4 linked regions of the Coturnix japonica genome follow. The protein of the gene in region 1 interacts with the protein of each later gene in a pairwise test. Links are inferred from orthologs where the notes say so. Each region holds a gene or a part of one and is shown in the gene's direction. Other genes may lie near its edges.

The links.
Region 2: the proteins of MIPOL1 (region 1) and UTP25 interact in binary tests that used the Homo sapiens proteins (3 or more experiments, as listed by UniProt). The link is inferred for Coturnix japonica from reciprocal best matches to the Homo sapiens genes MIPOL1 and UTP25.
Region 3: the proteins of MIPOL1 (region 1) and ENKD1 interact in binary tests that used the Homo sapiens proteins (3 or more experiments, as listed by UniProt). The two-hybrid records come from large-scale screens. The link is inferred for Coturnix japonica from reciprocal best matches to the Homo sapiens genes MIPOL1 and ENKD1.
Region 4: the proteins of MIPOL1 (region 1) and TTC12 interact in binary tests that used the Homo sapiens proteins (3 or more experiments, as listed by UniProt). The two-hybrid records come from large-scale screens. The link is inferred for Coturnix japonica from reciprocal best matches to the Homo sapiens genes MIPOL1 and TTC12.

Annotation. Positions count from the first base shown.
Region 1 is NC_029520.1:33,520,780-33,525,865, forward strand, and holds the start of MIPOL1 (mirror-image polydactyly gene 1 protein), read left to right. Parts: upstream 1-1,998; 5' UTR 1,999-2,106; intron 2,107-2,228; exon of another isoform or gene 2,229-2,295; intron 2,296-3,038; exon of another isoform or gene 3,039-3,129; intron 3,130-5,086.
Region 2 is NC_029518.1:20,182,312-20,186,685, reverse strand, and holds part of UTP25 (digestive organ expansion factor homolog), read left to right. Parts: intron 1-102; coding exon 103-322; intron 323-2,323; coding exon 2,324-2,526; intron 2,527-4,004; coding exon 4,005-4,187; intron 4,188-4,374. UniProt on the Homo sapiens protein: Component of the ribosomal small subunit processome for the biogenesis of ribosomes, functions in pre-ribosomal RNA (pre-rRNA) processing. Essential for embryonic development in part through the regulation of p53 pathway.
Region 3 is NC_029526.1:1,872,606-1,877,866, reverse strand, and holds the start of ENKD1 (enkurin domain-containing protein 1), read left to right. Parts: upstream 1-1,807; 5' UTR 1,808-1,833; coding exon 1,834-1,959; coding exon of another isoform or gene 1,960-2,021; intron 2,022-2,034; exon of another isoform or gene 2,035-2,054; intron 2,055-2,077; exon of another isoform or gene 2,078-2,607; coding exon 2,608-2,678; exon of another isoform or gene 2,679-2,738; intron 2,739-3,570; coding exon 3,571-3,665; intron 3,666-3,799; coding exon 3,800-4,024; intron 4,025-4,339; coding exon 4,340-4,512; intron 4,513-5,261. Other genes in the region: uncharacterized protein LOC116653968, read right to left, coding at 185-388, 795-889, 981-1,307, 1,411-1,450. UniProt on the Homo sapiens protein: Microtubule-binding protein which regulates microtubule organization and stability. Promotes the stability of astral microtubules and facilitates the proper orientation of the mitotic spindle.
Region 4 is NC_029539.1:5,037,484-5,042,037, reverse strand, and holds part of TTC12 (tetratricopeptide repeat protein 12), read left to right. Parts: coding exon 1-33; intron 34-121; coding exon 122-310; intron 311-1,170; coding exon 1,171-1,240; intron 1,241-2,251; coding exon 2,252-2,340; intron 2,341-2,907; coding exon of another isoform or gene 2,908-2,910; coding exon 2,911-3,076; intron 3,077-4,053; coding exon 4,054-4,146; intron 4,147-4,367; coding exon 4,368-4,431; intron 4,432-4,554. UniProt on the Homo sapiens protein: Cytoplasmic protein that plays a role in the proper assembly of dynein arm complexes in motile cilia in both respiratory cells and sperm flagella.

The DNA of each region.
Region 1 (5,086 bases):
CACAAAGCGTCGGTGGTGCCATTTGGCTCGCTCACCATCTTCCTGAAAGCACACTGTGCTATGAAAACCTTTGGACTATGGCTGTCTCTCTGCAGTGTTCAAAGGACACGGGGATTTGGGGTGGACATTGCATGCATCATGCAAACCTGCAGGCCCATGTTGTTAAACTAAATCCCTGGTTCTGACAGTCCCTAGTGTTACTCCTGCCAAGGCCAACCTCTGCTTTTCAGAAGATGCCAGGACACAACACAGGGGGTGGTACTGGCCAAACACGCTTCCCTAGAGACTGTGTGGGCAGGGCTACTCAGCTGAAGGGAAGGGCAGGTCATGTCACCTGTGTGGATGTGGAGCACCCAAGGACATTTAATCTTGTGGCTAGGCAGTGAGCATAGGTACCCATGTCAACATGTCTGTTGTTCCTATCTTTTTGCTGACTCTGAGTAGTACTGTGGTTTCTCTTCGTCTTCTCCATTTTTCCCTCTAATACTGTTAATAAGCCAACAGAAGGCTTGTCCATTCAGTAAGTAACCTGTGTACACACAGAAACCCATAGCGTTCTACAGTGAGGCACAATCTGAGAAGGGTGGATTCTTCAACAGCCTACCAATGGGTTTTGTGCATAAGGTTTTGAAACTGCAGTACTTTCATCCCCTTCATTCATCTTTCTGAGAATCATTTGCCAAACCTTTCCAAATGTTTTCTTGTTTTGAGAAGCAATTGCAGGTGCCTTAGGATTTGGAAGTAAAAACATAAATATAACGTAATAAAAATACCTTTGGAAAATGCTTCCTTGAAGTCTGCTCCTCAAGTAGTGTTCTGTTGTCAGTTTGTGGAGTGCCTGTGAGTGTGTTGTGATAGTTTAGCAACAAATGTTGCTAAGTGACTGGATGTTCCGAGGTTAAAATGAAATGTAGCCTTTGACAATTTAAAACAAGAGGAAGTTTTTATTGTTACTGTAAAACACAAAAACATACAAAATATATGCAAAAGAGTTAATAAAGCAATAAAATTGAGGTATAATAGATAATTTGCATGCATCAGCAAACAGTTACTTGAATTCTTTGCTATATGTAACAGCAGAGTGGAAATTGCTGTGGGAATGCAGAATAACTTTCTAAAATTAAAGAACTTTTAATGTGTTGACATTTAAGTAATTAAAATCTCAACTTCAATGTTTCATTAACATTAGTATCCGTTCCCTTGGTTTTGTGCTTTGAGACTGCTGCTCAGTTATATACAGCAGGATCACTTGTTCTCCAGTGATTGGTATCAACAAAAAGCAGATGCTGAAACATTCACTTATTGCAGGGATGTAGGTCTCACTATGCAATGCTCCTTTAATCCAAATAGCAGATCTGGTATTAAGCTAGATTCGTTGGAGTTATTCAATGGTCAAGAAAATTTGGAGTTGATCAGATGAAGAACCTATTTGGTTAGAGATGTTGTCTGCAAAAGGTGTCACTGCAATAAAAATGCTTACATAAAAACCTGCTTGTATTTAAAACACAAATCTATTGACGCCAGCATCATTAAATTCTCTTACTAAAATTCTTTCACGTATTGCATTTCTCCCTCCCTGTTCTCCCTCAATAGGCAGCGTTCCCATTATGCAGGTTTCCCAAAGCACTTTCAGGTTTAATCCCATTTCCACATGGACTCTTCTCAAACCCATGCATGCATGCGGCGCTTCTTTCTCCATAGACGGGGAATACCGCTCCTCGCCAGCCTGGGCAGCACTCCAGGGCTAACCCCTCCAAAAGAAAACAACTTTTTCCCGTGCGTGGGAGGACAGGCCGGCTAGACGCCAGCTGTGTCCGCACACCCCCTGCAGACCTCGGCCCTGCGCCGCCTCTCCCTCCCGCACGGCGGCGCCTGCCGTCCTGCATCGCCTGGCCCGAGTCGCGAGCCACCCCCGCAGCTGTGCCGTGCCGTGCCGTGCCGTGCCGCTGGGCTCCGCCCTCGGACCGTGGCCCCGCCGCCAGCCCTTGCACGTTGCGCGCTCGCGGTGGTGGCGAGTTCGGCTCTCCTCCTCCTGCGGCCGCAGCTCCGGGGCTTTGTTGTGAAGGCTGCACGCCGGCAGCGTGCCCGCGGGGGAGGAGCGCGCAGGTAACGGGGCTGGCGGGGCGCTTCCTTCGGCTGCTCCGCGCCGCTCGGGTTCCAGCTCGGCCCCTCTCCCGCGGCGGGGCCCCGTGCTCTGCCCGCAGCTTCCCCGCCCCCTCGGCCCTCCCCGCCTCCCTCCGGGCCTGCTCCGTCGCCGGGCAGCGGCTGTGCGAGCCAAGGGCGCCCGGTGTCGGAGTAAGCGCTTGTCGTTGTTCCCCTTATGGCAGGGAAAGTGGGATGCGAGTTGGCCGCGCGGGGGTACGCGGCTCGGAGTGCGAAATGGTGTCAGCTCGGTGGGAGAGGGCACCATGGGCAGCTGCTCCTCCGGGGGGAAGAAATCACGGGGGGAGCTCAGGGTGTAGCCCGCCCGCGCAAAGCGGGGAGGTCAGAGCTGAGTGTTGAGAGTCAACCAAGAATAGGCTGCGGGCAGCACTCGGAGTTGTAATGCATTGAATCGAGAGGGAAAATAAATCAAAAACAAAAACCCCAGACACTAAGAAATGCCAAAGTAAAGTTAATGCTTCTGTTTTGAAAATTTATCACTTAAGAAAACATCTTTAAGGCGTTCTCATCCGTTTTGTACTTCAAGTAAGTTTTATACGAGCCTGTTTCCTTGATGGTGGTGTAAAGGTGTTTCGTTTGAAGCAAGGAACGATATTTTTTGAATGTGAGCAGTTTGCAGGATTGCTTCTGTCCTGGAGGACGTTTCACTTTGGCATTGCGCACCCTGGGATCGACCGTTTTTCTTTTCTTTGTTCATTTTAACACGTGCTGTCGCTGGCTTAAATATTTTGTAAACTGTTAGGGAAAGTTAAAAGGAAGTGTAAATTGTTAAGATAAACATGCTGTGTGAAGTGGCTGGCCGGTCTGTTCTTAGTTTTGTTTTGTTTGCATAACAAAAGGTAGCCATGCACAATGAGGCCCTCCAGCCATTAGGCAGAGGTGTGAAGCTGAACCGTGCACACAGGCAGTTCCGCGAGCGTGGTGGCACGAAGCAGCTCTTCTGCCCATCACCGATTTCATTCTCTTGTAAGTGATACATTTGCCTTACCTGTCCAGCTGAGGATAAGTGACTGCAGCTCTAGGTGCAGTATAGCAAGTGAATGGAAGGGCTAAGCATTAACAATCACGTACCATATTTCAGAAGTTGCAGCTTCTGCTGCAGGTTTGGGGGAAGAAGGTGGAGCTGTAAAGCTGCGCTGCATCTGAACAGCGACAGCATTACCGAAGAGACTGCTGTCCTTCCAGAACTTTACTTGCCTGAGCCAAGAACATACAGGAGCAGAGCACCCATCTGACCTCCTGCCCTTTTCTTACTTGTTTTGTCTAGTTTATTATAAATAATAATAATTTAAAAAAAAACAGTTTGAGGGGTAGTAAGCCTCAAACCAACCTAGCGGATCTCGTGGTCAAGAAGGTGATATAGTCTCTTATACTTAACGAGCAGCTCCTTATTGTGTACATTTCTGTCTACCATTCTTATAATTGTTGAAGTTTTTCATGCAGCAACACCATATTTGTTATTATAGCCCGTTTCTCATTCCCGTCACAGTCTGCAATGAGAACAACTCTTTCTGCCACTATAGTGGGTAGAAAATGAAACTTCAAAAAATATTCATCTGCAGTTTTCAGAACTAACTAGACTTCTTGATGGTGGCTTTTAACATAGATTTTTATGTGTCTGGTAAAGACAGGTTGCATGTATGTTTCTGTGGATTACAGAGTAGGGAAGGGATTGAATGGTGGAGTCCCCAAGTGGACATTCAACTTAACGTCATAAGAAGATCTAGCATCTGGTTTCCTCTTTTGAGTCTGCCATGTAACACAGCAGTAACACGATTTTAACAAGTCAAAAAATAAAAACAAGTCAGCCTGTAGGCAGGCAGATATGCTTTTGTTGTTGTTTTGTTTAGGCAATTCTTAAAAAGAAAGTGTTCCTGTGTGTATGGGAATCCATTCAGAGTGAGAGTGCAGCTGACAATATTGGTATGTGTCAGCCTGTTGGGAAGTCCTGTAACAAAAAGGAGTCTTGTAAAGATATTAAAGAAGGAGCATTGGTACCCATAGGGCACAGTTTTTAAGGAGTTGTCTAAAGAAAAAAGTGACAAAATGACATTGTGACAAAGTGACATTGACAAAATGAGTCAACATTGTTGTTAAAATTTATGCTATAAGTTCACGTTGACAGACATAATTCTGTTGGCAACTTTTTATATAGTTAAAATTATCAATATGTATGTGGATCTCAATTTTAGCAGGGAATAAATTTCATGACATGGGTTCATAATCTCATTTTCTTATTAGAAAGAAGCCTGCATCTATGACATCGTTTTGCTAGAGTAGCAAATCAAAGGATAAATACAACTTGTCTTCAAGCAAGTGGCAAAACTTCCACTAGTTACAAGAAAATAGGATTATGTTGCAGGTGTGGCAGAAGTAATTGGTAATGACTTCAGCTCCTGGAGGGGCATTAATTCTTGCACCTGAAATCCATAGTAAATTGAGTTAAGGAGATCCACATAACATGCTGGTAGACAAATGTTATCCTTTCTGTGCTTTTATGTAAATCTGTTGAGGATAGAATTTGATCTTTAAGTTACACATTCATTTAAGTAGTAATATTTCTGCCAGCTATGCTCTAATTTAAATGTTAAGTGTGAAATAAATTAGAAAAATCTAATCTGCCTCAGTAGAGTAATACTGGGACAAAGAAAGATTAAAATGTTTGGTTATCGATTAGTTCTTTGGAGGAAGGGGGTGGCAGTTCCTGTTGGAATTAATGGAAGGATGGCACAGTTGTGTGGGAATATAAACTGGAGATGCTGTTATGTTCTGCCATGAGGAAGCTAAATAAGGGATCGAGGGTTTTTGCACTTGAAGCCAAGAGATGGAATTTTTAATGGTCTTTTTTAAATGTACAAATCCAGTGATGTACATTGATTTGTATTTTAGTTTATAAATAATAATGTCCTCTTGAAAAGAGGAG
Region 2 (4,374 bases), on another chromosome or scaffold:
CCCAAATGTGGGCACTTCAAAGACAAAGCAGTTACTTAACATGCTCAGCTGTGGATATTGATGTTTTTTGGGTTGTTCAGTTGTAACTGTTGATCTGTGCAGGTGCTGATAATAGTGCCCTTCCGGGAATGTGCTTTGCGAATTGTGCATATTTTCATCAGTCTTCTTGAAGTGAACGAGAAAAGAAAAATAGATGTAAGTAATAAGAAGCGCTTCAAAGGGGAGTTTGGTTCTGACCCAGACGAGAAGCCCCCCAACCTGAAAAGACCTGAAGATTATGAAGCCGTCTTCGCTGGCAACATTGATGACCACTTCAGAATTGGTAATGACCCACAGAACATGAGTTTTGCTTATAAAGAAGTGAGGGGTAATCTAACAGGTTCTTCCTTAATGTCTGGGAGCCATCGGGGCTGGTGAGAATTGGGGCTCTGAGGTATTTGTGCTGTGTCTGCAGTGGCATCATGAATACTTCTGAAAATATTCCATTCCTTGCCATTAAAAAATAGAAGAGAAAATATAAAAGTAAACATTTTCACTCCAAGTTCGGAGTCCCTTAAAATGCAGTGATTGCTTTATTGTGGCAGGGTTGCCCGCACCTCATTTGAAAGAGGATAATCTTGATTATGCAGCAAAATCACCCATGTTATGTAAAAAAAAGCAATAAAATCTCAGGTCAAGTTAGTGTATTCACGGTGTATCTTAAAATCAGTAACAGTGGAAACAAATTCAAGCTCAGTACTGAGCAAAGCAGTTTTCTACTGTATTGCCCATGGTTTTTATGAGCAGTAAGGAATGGACAGCAATTGGGACCATTGGACAAACAGCAAATGTACGACTTATTTTGTAGTAATTTCAAGCTGTTTTAGTAACTCAGTGTGCAAAGAATTAGTTTGGTTCCCGGAGCTGCCACAATGAGTAGGCAGTTTTTTTCTAACCTAACTTGACAGATAAGAGCTTCTTGAAATGATTGTCCCTTGAAAGATAAATTGGCATCCCAAGAGGTATAATGATAGTGTGGAAGGTGCAGGTCGTTCCCACTCAATCTTTCATGCTTCCCCAGTGAGTATCTGTCTTGCTGAGAACATCTTACATTTTGTAGCAAAATAATTTGCCTTGCAGTCCTCTCCTATAGCACAGTCTCCTCGATCCACTTACTGAGTGTGAAGAAATGCATGGGGGAACTTTGGGTGCTGTTACTTGCAGAAGCAAATCATAGAAGCAGCATAATTATTCCTTCCTAATGTGCTTTGCATCCTGTTACTTCAGCACTAAGATTGAATTCAGGGCATGTTTGTTATGCCTTACTAAAACCATCCTTTCCCATTTTTAAATCAAATACATTTAGAATTACCAAAATGTTTATATGCCGACATGTTTTGAGATAAGTGCTGTTTTCCTGGAAATTCAACCTTTTAATTATTTTATTATTGGGTTAAAATAGCCAGCAGGAGATGTCCCTATGGGTGCCTGTGTGAAATTCTTGACGTGCCTTCAGATGTGCTTATAGTCGCTGGCTTCAGGCAGACAGGGCAATAAGCTGAAAAGGCACCTGTGTTGGGCAGTGTGTAGTGGGTGGTTTGAATGTGGCCCAAATGGAGATTTTAAAATCAGAAAACTGTGTGTCCATATAGTTATAGGTAGCAATTTCCTCCTTTACTTTCTTGCTTTTCCTTTATCATCAGAAGTGATGCATGAGCTAGTTGACACTGCAACGTGTGTCTTGAGAAGCCAGCTAGCACCTTCCTGGTAGAATTTGCAGGGCTGTCTATGTTTTCTGCCTTTGTAACATGATCAACCTTGTCCTTGGTCTTTTAGTAGTGTCTCCTGTGGCCCTGTGAATGAAAGCAATCAGTGCTCAGGAGATCCACGCTAAATCTTTCATGACAGGTTGAAATAACTGTTACTACAGTAGATAATGACGTGGACCAAAGCCTAGAGGTGAGGGTGAAAAGGAGTAGTTAATCATTTCTACTGCTTTTTTTCATCTTTTTAGCCCCTCTTTCCTCTTATTTTTCTTTTTAACAGTAAATCAAGAGAAATGCATTTTGGCTCAATAATGTCATGCAAGCTATGAAAAAGCTGAGGAAAAAAAAGAACTGCTGGAAGAGTTCTAGCAATGAAAATCTGCCAAAGGCTTATGAAATGGAGGAAGGGTAGATAAGCACATTCTCAGGGAAGTTTCAGCTGGATTGGTTTTGTCCTGCTGTAATCACAAGCATGTGCTAAGGGAGAGGAAATGTAGGGAGTTACTGTTATGGAGTCTTCTGGAAGAAAATGGTTGGCCCTTAACTTTGACTAAGAACTGCTGTTTGTGTTCTGACAGGGGTTGCTATTCTACAAAAGAGCATGAGATTATATGCGCCGTTTTATTCATCAGACATCATTATTGCCTCTCCCCTGGGTATGAGGACTGTCATTGGCGCAGAGGGAGAGAAGAAGAGAGACTTCGATTTTCTGTCATCCATAGAGATGCTCATAATTGATCAGGCAGACATTTACCTAATGCAGAACTGGGAACATGTTCTGGTACGGTTTCCCTGTTTTTTTGTGTTGCACTGTGTCTTGTTCATCTAATTACAACTTACTGTTAGGAATGAATAGTTTTGCTGTTTTCTACTGACTTTATTCTAGACACTTGTTTGTTCATTTTCATCCACCAATATTTATTTTCCTTTTACTACAAATAATTTCCTTGCAGCTTTTGGTTGTATTCAGTACCTGTTCTCTGTAGATCTTAGAATTTGGATATTAGGAGGAAGTTAAGCACACAGAGGGTGGTGACACACTGGGGCAGGTTGCCCAAGGAGGCTGTGGTGCCCCATCACTGCAGGCATTCAGGGCCAGGCTGGATGTGGCTGTGGGCAGCCTGCTCTGGTGGCTGGTGACCCTACACGTAGCAGGGGGGTTGGAACTGGGTGATCATTGTGGTCCTTTCCAACCCAGGCCGTTCTATGACTCTGTGATACGGTGCATTACTATTGTATTTCATCGTAGTTTGGTTGTGAGGTTGGGTTTATTTTTTTATTGACTGGCTTTTTTTTTTTTTTCAGTGGCTTTTTATTTGACAACTATAATTATTTTGCAGGATTAGATGGTTATGATTCCTTTAGTCACCTCTGGGGGAAAATCTGCCAGTTGTCTGACTGCACCGTGTCTCAGATCACAGCTGTGTGAGGAGTTTGTCCAACCTCACTGAGGTTCTTCCAGAAAGCAGTGGGCACTGGTGCTTGTTGCCATTGACAGTAGAGCCGCCGAGCATTAGTCATGTCCTAATTGAAACAGACTTATCCTGCGTGTATAATGAATAAAGCTTTAGGATTGCCACCAGTATGTGGTAATGCCCATGTTTTATGGCCGCAGGTTAATAGAAGTTTTCAAGCTTGAAAGTTTGGAGTTGTTTTTGTTTGTGTATTTCATATAGAAACACCTTTGAGGAATCTGAACCTATCATTTTGGCAGCCTGGCATTACTGTACATTTTAAATGAGCCTGAAAGTGTCTTATTTCCTGGGGAGTCCTGGCAAAGGCTCATGAGCCTACACGATGCTCCTGGAGTGTCCTGGAGCCCATTTTCCATTTTTGTTTTTGTTTGAGTGCATTTGTCTGCTGTGCAGCAGCAGCAGTACCAGTCCTGGGCATTGCCAGGTTGCCCCTTCATGCATTAGGAGCAGCAGTTCAGCTGCTTCTAGCTCAGAAACCTTGGACCTGCTGACGTCAGTACATACAAACAGATCCATTAGGCTTCCCCCACGGGAGAGGATTAGAAGCAAAGGCTGCTGTTACTGATGGCTGAGGAGATGGCAGTTTTGAGTCCCGTGGAATGAAATTAGGTAAATTACTCTTGATGGGGTCAATAAATCCCAGGCAGTCATCTTGGGCAATCACTGCTGTTACATTCTGTGCTGTCTTGCTTATCCTTGTCCACTTTCTTGCTGCAGTTAAGGCTCTTTGCAGTCTGGATGCAATTATGTCAGTCTGCAGCAGTATGTTTCTGTCTCTGTGTAGCACCTGATGAAGCACATTAACCTGCTGCCTTTGGATTCCCATGGGGTAGACTTTTCCCGAGTGCGAATGCCAAACCTCAATAACTGGTCCAAGTACTACCGCCAGACGCTGCTGTTCAGTGCTCTTCAAGATCCCCAGATTAATGCTATCTTCAACAAACACTGCTTCAATTACATGGGGCAGGTGAGTTCATGTCAAAGCTGAGGCCGCCTTTAGGCATAATGAAGGGGGAGAGGAGCAGAGAAGCCAGCATGGAAAAATTCCATAATTCAGTTGTAGAAGCATCTGTGTGGCAGTAATTTCTATTGCCCTGAATGTTTCTGTCTGAATCTCCACAGTGCTGCGTGATGGTCTCTGATGCTGTGCCAAA
Region 3 (5,261 bases), on another chromosome or scaffold:
CTGGTCCCAGAGATCCCCTGTTTATCATGGGCCTCCCACACTGACCGTTGTGATGAATGAAGATGCTAAGGAGCAACACCCTCATGAGTTTGCTGGGCCCATTCTTTGCTCAGTCTCTAAATGAGACATTTACTTGCAGGTATTTATTTCCTTTCAACATAAACAAGTGTCCTGATGTGCTGTTCTAAAGGGTGGGAGCCTGCTTGGTCCTTGGCTCTGAGCACTCATCAGCTGTGGGCTGAAGGAAGGAAGCAGATGGGTGTAAATGACGCGCTGTTCCCTCCAGCTGCACCAGTGGCAGTTCAGCATCTTCCTGCAATGCTTTCCAGGTAGAGGATTGCTGATCCTGCTGCAGCTCTGAGCATCTCCTGTCAGTGCTGGCTGTGTGCTACGGAAAGCAGGTGAGATAATGTCTCCTGAGCTCACCTGGAAGAGTCCCTGCCTTCATTCACAGATCGGTCTGACTTCATTCCTGCTGATGCTGGATCTGCTTTGAAGCTGTTCCTGAACTGGGAGACCTCCTTTATGCCTGCGCTGGGGCCCCTGGGAACACCCAGAGTGGCACACACGAGGGCAAAGCCTCCATCTCTGAGGGGCTGAGCCACAGCATCCTGCACATCTCTGCTCCCTCCCCATTGCCATGACCTGCTGGCAAGTCATTCCCCTCCTTGCTGGCCTGGTTGGCACAGAGTGCTCTGTGCCTGGCCCTGCATGTCAGAGGGGCTCCCAACCATGCATCGTGCTCACTGAGCCTTGCTGGACTTCTCTCTCCAGCCCTGGAGCAGCTGCCCTACCTGCTGCCTGCCTTCCCCTTCCCCTCCTGCTGGGCACATCAGCTCCGTGCTGAGGTTGATGTACTGATACAAGGGGCGCAGACGTGGCAGCCGGCCTGGAGGGGAATCACAGAACGGTTTAGGCTGGAAGGGACCTGAAAGATGACGGAGCTCCGACCTGCTGCCCTGTTCCCTATGGGTGCTCACCCAGCGCGTCCCGAGGTGGGACCTTTTTGCACGGCTGCGTGTTGCTCGTGCTTTTCCTCTTCTTGCTCTTTCCCTGCGGCTCGGCAGCGGGGTTGGCATCGCCCTCAGCAGCGGGGGGCTGCAAACCGGGGTCCTGCAGCACCTGCAGGTGAGTCCTGCGGGACAGGGATGTGCTGCAGGCCATGGCCAGCGCTGCGCCGTGCGGCTCAACACGGCGGTCGGTGCAGCACGAAGCCGGCTCCCGAAGGGGACGGGCCGCCTCACTTTGCGTCCTGCGTTGGGGCGGACATGGAGCAGCGCCGGGATCCGACAGCGGCCGGGAGGAGGCTGCGGGATGGACGGGGGGGCGTTACCGGGGGAACGCAGCAACAGCGCGGCACTAAGCCCGGCCCGTAGCGGGGCCGATCCGAGCCGCCCATCGTGCCCACACCTCCGTGCAGGCGGGGCTCAGCCCGGCACGGCCCCAACATCCCCCCCCGGCGGAAGCGGCGGTTGCCCGGAGCGCGGTGGGTGCGTGCGGTGCGGCCGGAGCCCGGCGGGTGCCTCCATCCTCCCCCATCCCATCCCATCACATCCATCCCATCCCATCCCGTCCCGTCCCCCCGCAGCGGTTCTGACCCGGTTCCTTCCGCCCATAACGGTAGGGAAGGAGCCAACGGCCCAATTGCCACGAGCGCTTTGCTCGGCCCCGGCTGTCTCGCTCTGCTGCTCGCAGCTCCTATCGCAGCTCTTATCGCAGCTCTTATCGCAGTTTATCCACAGATGGATTCATTTATTCCTTTGTTCCCCCCGTGCTTTTTGCAGAACCGGGCTCGGAGCAGCACAAAGCCGAACAACGCAGCTCCAGCTCCGCATGAGGTCGCAGCTCCCCGGCCGGGCTCGCAGCTCCGGTGGGTGGCACCGAGCTGTGCTGGAAGAGGAACGGCCGGGAGGAGCGAACTGCGGGCAGCTCAGTTTCCCTGCCCCCCCTGCAGCCCGGGTGAGCAGGAGCTGCTCACGTACATCTGTTTGCTGCTGGCAACAGCTGCTTTTGATGCTCAGGTTTCTAACACAGCTTTACAGATGCTTTCCTAGGTGCATATTAGGGCTGGCCTTGCTCCACCTGTAGCCACGTGCTCCTGCTGCTCTCCTCCTGCTTGCACGGTGCATCTCTGGTTCCTGCGTGGGGTTGCAGCTGGGTGGGATGCAGCCTGCTCAGCCCTCAGCTTCCAAACAGCCCCATCCTCCAGCCCTGCTGTCCCACCGATAGGAGCAAAGCAGCCACCTGCAAATCCTGCTCTAGGGAGCTGTAGGTTTGGATGCTTCATCCTAAGGCCAGATGATGATGATGATGCTGGGGATGCTGGGGGCTGTTGTCCCACATGGGAGGGTTTGCTGTGAGCACCCAGATAGGCAAAGCACTGTCATAGTGCTGTGTGATCTTGTGAGATCCAAAGCCAGAGGCAGCGTGACTTGTAAATCAGGGTGTGGGTGTCATCTGCAGGCTGCCTGCAGCAGGGCAGGGTGCCACTGGGATGTGGGCCCTGTGTTCAGGTACAGGAGGAGCCTTCCATCCCCCACCTCCCATCCCATCTGCCTGCCTTTCCCCCTCCAGCCCCCCCTGCTCTAATTGCCTGCTCTGTTACAGGGCCTGCTTTCACTCTGTCATTTTGCACCTAAATTACTGGCGTTGGAGGAGAGTTCAGACCGAGATCAGATGTGAGTCTCAAGGCCAGTAACTATCCCGGAGTCATCTCTTGGAGGATGCTTTTGTTCTTGGTATAAGAGAGTCCATTCTGGCTTAGCTCTGTCCATTTTAAATGGGATTAAATAAGAAGAGAATGGTGCTGTTTTACTGCAGCCTGAGACTCTGAAGCATTTCAGGAGTAGCCTTTGCAGGATGACTGGGTACAAAGCAGCCTCTGGACATGCCTGCTGGTGTGCAGTGCTTGCACTGCTTGCGTTGCCTCTGCAGTTGTGTCTGGGAGATGAATAATAGCTTTTTGCTAATGGGTCTCATGTCAACAAGGGTAATTGAACAGGGAAGACAGCAGTGCATTAGTTGCTATGAGTCAGGCTCGCTCAGCCTTGCACTGGTTGTTTATTGGTTTCTAAATGAAATGGGAGATGCTGTGTCCTGTCAGTGCTGGAATGCTGAGGATCCTAAAAGGGGCTCTTCCCATAGGGCTGAATCTGTTGGTATTGCAGACCCAGGAGTCAGATTTTCTGTGCTGAAGCTGTAGGCAGACATTGAGGATCAGTGCTGGTCAGTCCTGCAGTAGGGGTGGTGCTGCTGGATCCTTTGCCTTACCTACATGAAATCACAGCACGGTTGAGTTACAAGGGACCTCAAAGCCCACCCAGCCCCAAGCCCTGTTGGAGGCTGGTTGCTCCCCAGCTCAGGCTGCCCAGGGTCCATCCATAGCCTGGGGCACCTGCAGGGATGGGCACCCACAGCACTGGGCAGCCATGGGGTCCATTTGGGGTTGTTTCCTACTTGCAGGTTGTCCCTGCAGTTGGATATGAGCTCTCTGACATTAGCTGCAGCTCTGCAGTGGCTCCGTGAGCTGTGTTTAGTTCACCTCTCACTCATGGTCGGTTTCCATTGCAGAGACAGCAGAATGTGTGAAGGGCCATCCAAGATTTCTGGGCCCATCCCTCCAGACCCTACGGTCTTCCCAGACTATTACAGACGCCCTTTCTCAGGTGAGTCCTTGGGTGCTTATAAGAAGGGAAAACATGAGGCAGAGGTGCAGGGGGACCTTTGGCATCACTTGCTTGAAGAAAGCAGTGATGTGAGATGGTGCCAACCTGCTTTTTGTTTCTTTCTTTCTCTGTAGCTCGGGGGAGGCTGGAAGGCAATGCTCAGCGGTTGGATTTTACCTCTCACCCCACGGATTCAGCTCCCAGCTCAGCCCGTGCTTTGAGCAGTGCCCAGCAGCCCCAACCAGCCCCTCGCATCCGCCCCAGCGGGAGGGACTACTTGGAGAAGGGGCAGAAGGGAACGCTCGGCCTCCTGCTGCAGCTCGATGGGCTCTCTCTTGGTGGGGGTCTGCCAGCAAAGAGTAAGTGCTGCCTGGCTCTTATTGGCTTTGTATCCTGGCATTGCCCCAGGCTCTGGATGGTGCCAGTGTGGTGGTTGCCACAACCACTGTGCCAAAACTGGAAGGGAACCAGCTGAGGTCTTCCAAAAACAGGGTCAGCCCTCCCAGCATGGGGGGCAGAATGCACAGATTGTGTGGTCTTTGGTGGGGGGAGGACTTGCTGTTTCCACGGGTGGATTTAGAGATGGAGCTGTCAGCTCTGGTGTTGTGATCCAGGAGCCTACGTCTGCTGGCAGTGTTTGAGGGCTGAAAGCTGTGTCTCCCCTCGCTGTGCAGGGAAAGAGTCCAAGGACCATGAGAAGGAAAACGTGAGGAGAATAAAGGAGATTCAGAAGAAGTGCAAAGAGAGGGAGCGAGCCCAGGAGCGCAGCCAGCCCAAACCTGTGAAAGCTCTATGGAAATCCCAGAAATATGAGAACGTGGAGTCGAAGGTGAAGGCCAGACTGCAGGTGTGTGCCCAGGGGGCTCTTCAACTCTCCTGGCGGGTCAGAAGAATAAAATCCCATCACCCGTTCTGCCTGCTGCCTCCTGTCGTAGCAATCTGAGGGCAGTTCTTGGCGTGGTGCAGAGCAGCCCTCAGCTTATCCCTGTCCTGAGGTGCAGCCACTTGGCTTCTCAGCTTTCCACGTCTGGGGCTCGTGCCAAGAGCCAGTGGTGTTGTGCCCCACAGATCCTTATCCTCACCCTTTCTGCATGGCACCGGGGCAGATAAGAAGAGATTCAGGCTGTTCCAGGCTTCGTGCCAGCTCTCAGGACCCTGTGGACACGCAGTTGGGTTTTACCAACTGTGTACTGAGCTGGAACAGGCACAGTTTCTGTTCCCAGTGGTGTCCGCTCTCCTGTAGATTTTGCTTTGCTTTTGGCTTCTTTCTTTTCCTTTCTCTGGGTAGTTTTTTCTTTCCTGGTGTTTAAGTAACACATCTGTTGGGGGCTTTCCAAACTGCACCAAGGAGAAGCTGGGTGATGTGTTGGGCATCACCACTTGAGCAACACCCTCCTTGCTGCTTCACAGCTGAGCTGATGCTTCAGGTTCCTCCTCATCTCCTCATCACTTCCCTCCATTCTGTGTCCCTAGAGCCAACAAGGTGGTGCTACAAAGGTGATTTCCAAGCAGTTCCAGAAGCCTTGCCCCTTCTTTCTGGTGCACCACCAACCTGCTCACTGGTGTCTATGACCTTCCACATGCAGGAGCAAACCC
Region 4 (4,554 bases), on another chromosome or scaffold:
AGCTTGATCCCCAAAAGGAAAGTTTATTTAAAGGTAAGGAATGTCAGTTTTGCTACTCTTGTCGCTTGGTTTCTGATCAGAACATTTTGTTAACTTCCTTTGATTTCTTTTGCTTTCTAAGATTGCATGAACGAGGTTAACTTGGAGGAAAAAAGAATGCAAGAGGAAGACAGAGCGATGAAAGCATTTCAGTCCGGAGAACACGCAGCTCTGTCCATTAAAGATCTGCTGCAGAAACTCGACAGGCCTGACCAGAATATCCTCTACTACATGGGAGGGATCCAGGTTCTGACAGGAGCCATAAAGGAGTGTGAGTGTGTGATGCAAACCTTGTTTCTGTGGGGGTTTGTAACCTGGGAGGATGAATATGACTGCAATAGTTTTTGAAAGACCAAAAACCTATTCCTGTTTTAAAAAAAAAATACAACAAATGGTGTTTGCTATTTCAGCGTTTATGTACAGTGGATGTTTCCATGTTTCTTTTTATAGCTAAACCAATTCTGTAGCTGAGCTGTTGATACTTCTTAAGGATTTGGTCATGTCATAGAACTATAGAATGGCTCAGGTTGGAGAGGACCTCAAAGCCCACCCAGTGCCACCCCCAGCCATGGGCAGGGCTGCCCCCACCAGCTCAGGCTGCCCAGGGCCCCATCCCACCTGGCCTTGAGTGCCTGCAGGGATGGGGCACCCACAGCTCTCTGGGCAGCAGTGCCAGCGCCTCACCGCCCTCTGAGGAAAGGATTGTTTCCTCATATTTAACCCACAGCTCCCCTCTTTCACTTTAAAGCCATTCCTCCTTGTCCTGTCACTATAATTTAAGAGGTCTCAAATTACTTTTGAAAAGTTAGCAGTTCTCTGTTGAAGAACAATGATTTGCAAGGCCAGTCTCCTGTTTAAGTCCTCATAAAAACTCTTGAAAATGAAGTCAATCATTCTCCACTGCACCAGGCATCAATTAGAGTGGTCTTCCACTTCAAAGCTGTTTCTGCTTCAAGCGCTCTTGAAGTTTTTCCCCTCTTTTCACAATGCAAACCTCCTTTCCCCAAAGCTGTTGATCCAGTGACCTTTTCCTTCAACGCTGTGTTGCAGCAGAGCAGGTGTCTGCCTTCATCATGGTGAGTCGGCCAGATGGCTCACGGAGCTGACTTGTTTCTCTCTGCCTCTTTTCAGGCACTGAGCAAACTTTATTTAGAACAAACAATGGGTTCAGTATCATCAATGACAACAAGGTCATAAGACGGTAAGAGAAGTTCCAGAAGAGAACAGTAGCACGTTATAGCATGAGGAAGTGACTATGTTGTTTTCAAGAAACTCAATCGCCTCACGAAATGCAGATGATCACAAGATAAGGGAATAACTGGTTGTAATGTCTGAATAGACTGACTTGTATTTGACCCAAACAAATAGGACTCTCTTGGATTCAGTGGACTCATGAGTTTCTGCTCCTGTCTCTGATCTCCTATTTCTGTGCGGTTCCCCTATCTCTAACGGTGAGAGCAAAGCTGGTAAAGCTTACTGTAAGAAAACAGCTGATGTAAAAGTGTAGTTGCCTTAAGTGTGTCTGGCTGGGCATCAGTAAATGTCTCACCTCAGCTCTGCAATGCAACATGTAAAACTCTTCAGTCCTGTAACTGAGGAGGAGGATTCCCTCTGGGACCTGTGTTCTCTGCTGCTGTGTGTTCTGGGCAACCATTAGATGGTGTTTTGGTAACCAAGACACAAATCCAGTTCAATTGCTTTCTAAGCTTTGTCCCGTGAGGGATCTCTTGCCTGGTAGATGACAGACACAAGCAAGATCCACAGAAAAGATGTGATCTGAAAATTTGGTACAACTAAGTTGGTTCAGAACAGTGTGATCTGGTTGGAAAAGGGAAGAGTTGTTTGCTGCTGCTGTGTCCTCCTAGATTTGCACCATGCTCTCACGTCCTGGCTCAGCACAGTCATGTCAGTGCAGAACTGAATGCACCACTTGTGCTGCTTACTGACTGCAGGAGCTCTGTGTGTGCTCAGGGGGTGGTGTAGGTTCAGTAGAACATCAGTCTGGCATTGGAGGAGATTGTCTGGAAAGCAGGTCTGGTTCAACGTCTGAAAATGTTTAACTAATGAGCTGTTGCTAGAGCTGACGAGCTTATGTGCTTGTATGGCAGATCCTCATTGCTGTGAGGCTTTCCCAATGTCCCCAGCCAAAGATCTAACCCTCATTGTTTCATCTGCCTTGGGTTCCTTTTGCAAGCTAACATTTCTCATTTAGGAGCTTCTGTGCAGAAAGAAAGAGCGCTGCTGAAGTGGATCTCTGTGTTTGTCTTCTCTCCCTTTGGCAAGCTGTCTGCGCTGGGAATGGTAAAGATGTGATCAACATTAATAATTGTTCATGGTAATATGGCACAGTCTGGGTTTAGAGTTGTTTTTTGGTACAAGCATTGCTTTCCCAGAGCACTTGGGTCTAGGCCTTGCTGTCAGCAAAGCTTTTTGGGGGTTGAAGCACTGCTGGGTAGTGCTTCAGAACAGGGCTGAGTTTCCAGCCCTGTGCACATCTTATATATGCTAAAGGGGCTGGAAGTCAATTCCCTGTGATTATTGCTGGCTCTTAAGATCACATTTGTTTTGTCTTTTTTAAGCAGTTCTACCTGTAAAAAGCAGAAGTGCTGTTAGAGAAGGGTGGATTCCTTTGGCATCACCATTAAGGCGTTGGTTTTCTGAGGTCTGCAGGGAGGTCAGGAGTGGGATGGAGTGGTGAAGTGGTGCAAACTGCCACAAGGAAAAGAGGGCTTGGTGCCTGCACCTCTGTTGACTTGTGTGTTGCTGGGTCCAGTGGATGCACAAGGAAGTGTGTAGTTAGTGAGAGCAGGAGTGACGGTTGGGATTTCATCACTTGTGACGCTGTGCTTAGATTCCCTCTTTTTTCAGAAGAAAACCAGCGGCTGCTGTTAACTCACCCTGATGTGAATGCACAGCTGTTGGAACTGCTGTGTTCCGGTGTATTGGAGATCCAAAAGGAGACACTGGCACTAATTGCTCTCTATTCAGATAATGAGAATGGGAGGAGACTGTTGGTCAAGCACCAGGACCTATCCAGGTAACAAAGGCAACTATTATTTGGTAAGACTCCCTTAACCCTGGGCTTGCAGAGGTCCAAAGCTCACTCCACTAGCATCAAGCAGAGCAGCAGGTGGGTGACAGGCTTCTGAAAGGGACGTGGTGATGTTGAGACCTAAGCCAAGGTGAGCAGAAGTGGAAGTGAGGTGCATGGGGAAAACAAACTTTGTTCCTGGAGATGTCTGTGAAGATAAGCAGGAGGCACTTTCTGAAGAGGTTTAACTTTGAAGTATAGTTATGGGTTTATAACCAGTAAGGCTGTGTCCCTCGCATTCCAGTAAGAGCTTACATTGTTGCCCCTTGATAGCTCATGCTTTCAAGCAGCTGCTCTCTCCTCATCTGGCTAAGTGGAGAATAAAAAGCCTATTAGCTCTTAGCTCTTGTCCTGCCATTTCCTTCATAGAATGGTTTGGGTTGGAAGAGCTCTTTAAGATCACCTAATTCCAACCCCCTGCTATAGGCAGGGACACCTCCCCCTAGGCCAGGTTGCTCACAGCCCCATCCAGTCTGGCCTTGAATGCTTCCAGGGAGGGGACATTCACAACCCCACTGGGCAACCTGCTCCAGTGTCTTACCAACCTCACAGTAAAGAATTTCTTCCCTATATCTAGTCTAAATCTACCCTCTTCCAAGTTTAAAACCATTCCCCAGTTAACCTGTTGAGCAGAGGAGAAAATTTTAATGTGCTACTTTGCAATAAGAGGTTTAAACTGGTTGATAAACAGTACAGATTCTCCAACGGATGTACAGACTTCACTGTGTTACATGCAATGTTCATCCCAAGACCTGTAAAGCTTTTTAGTTAAAACACCCACTCACCCCCCAGGACTGTGGGGTTTGCTCAGCACGTCCTTCTAAAGCACACAGTCATCACAGTGATCTTCCCTGCAAATGTCTTTAATAATTCGGCCAAAGCTGACATATAGTTTTTTTTGTCTCTTTATGTATTAATAACAGATGGCTGCAGATATTGATGATGTTCGTCAACAGCGCTGATGCCAGGGCTGGCAGTGCCATGAGTGTCCTGTCAGATTTAATTCAAGAAGAAAAGTAACTAGCACTTTTTCATTATTTTTTTAAATCAGTTACAGTAGTAAATACTAAATGACCTTGTGATAGAGGCTGCCAGCCTTCTTTGCCATTTTGCCCTCTTTACTCAGTTTACCTTCTGTGTATGTTGCTGTTCTGTTGCTTTTCTCTGTTTGGTTGTTGTTGTTGTTGTTGTGCTAAAGCTCTAACTGTCCAAACATGGCTTTCTTTATCCTCAACAGGTTCAAAGCACAGTGTCGCCTCATGTTTTCCACATCTGTTTTACCATTGTTCACCCAACTGCTGGTATGAAAGGTCTTAATTCTGTGTTTCCAACATGTTCTTCTTTAACGTGTCTCATGACAACTGCTTCCAGTATTGAAAGGGACTGTAAGAAGAAAGGAGACAGACTCCTTGGGGGGTTCTGTT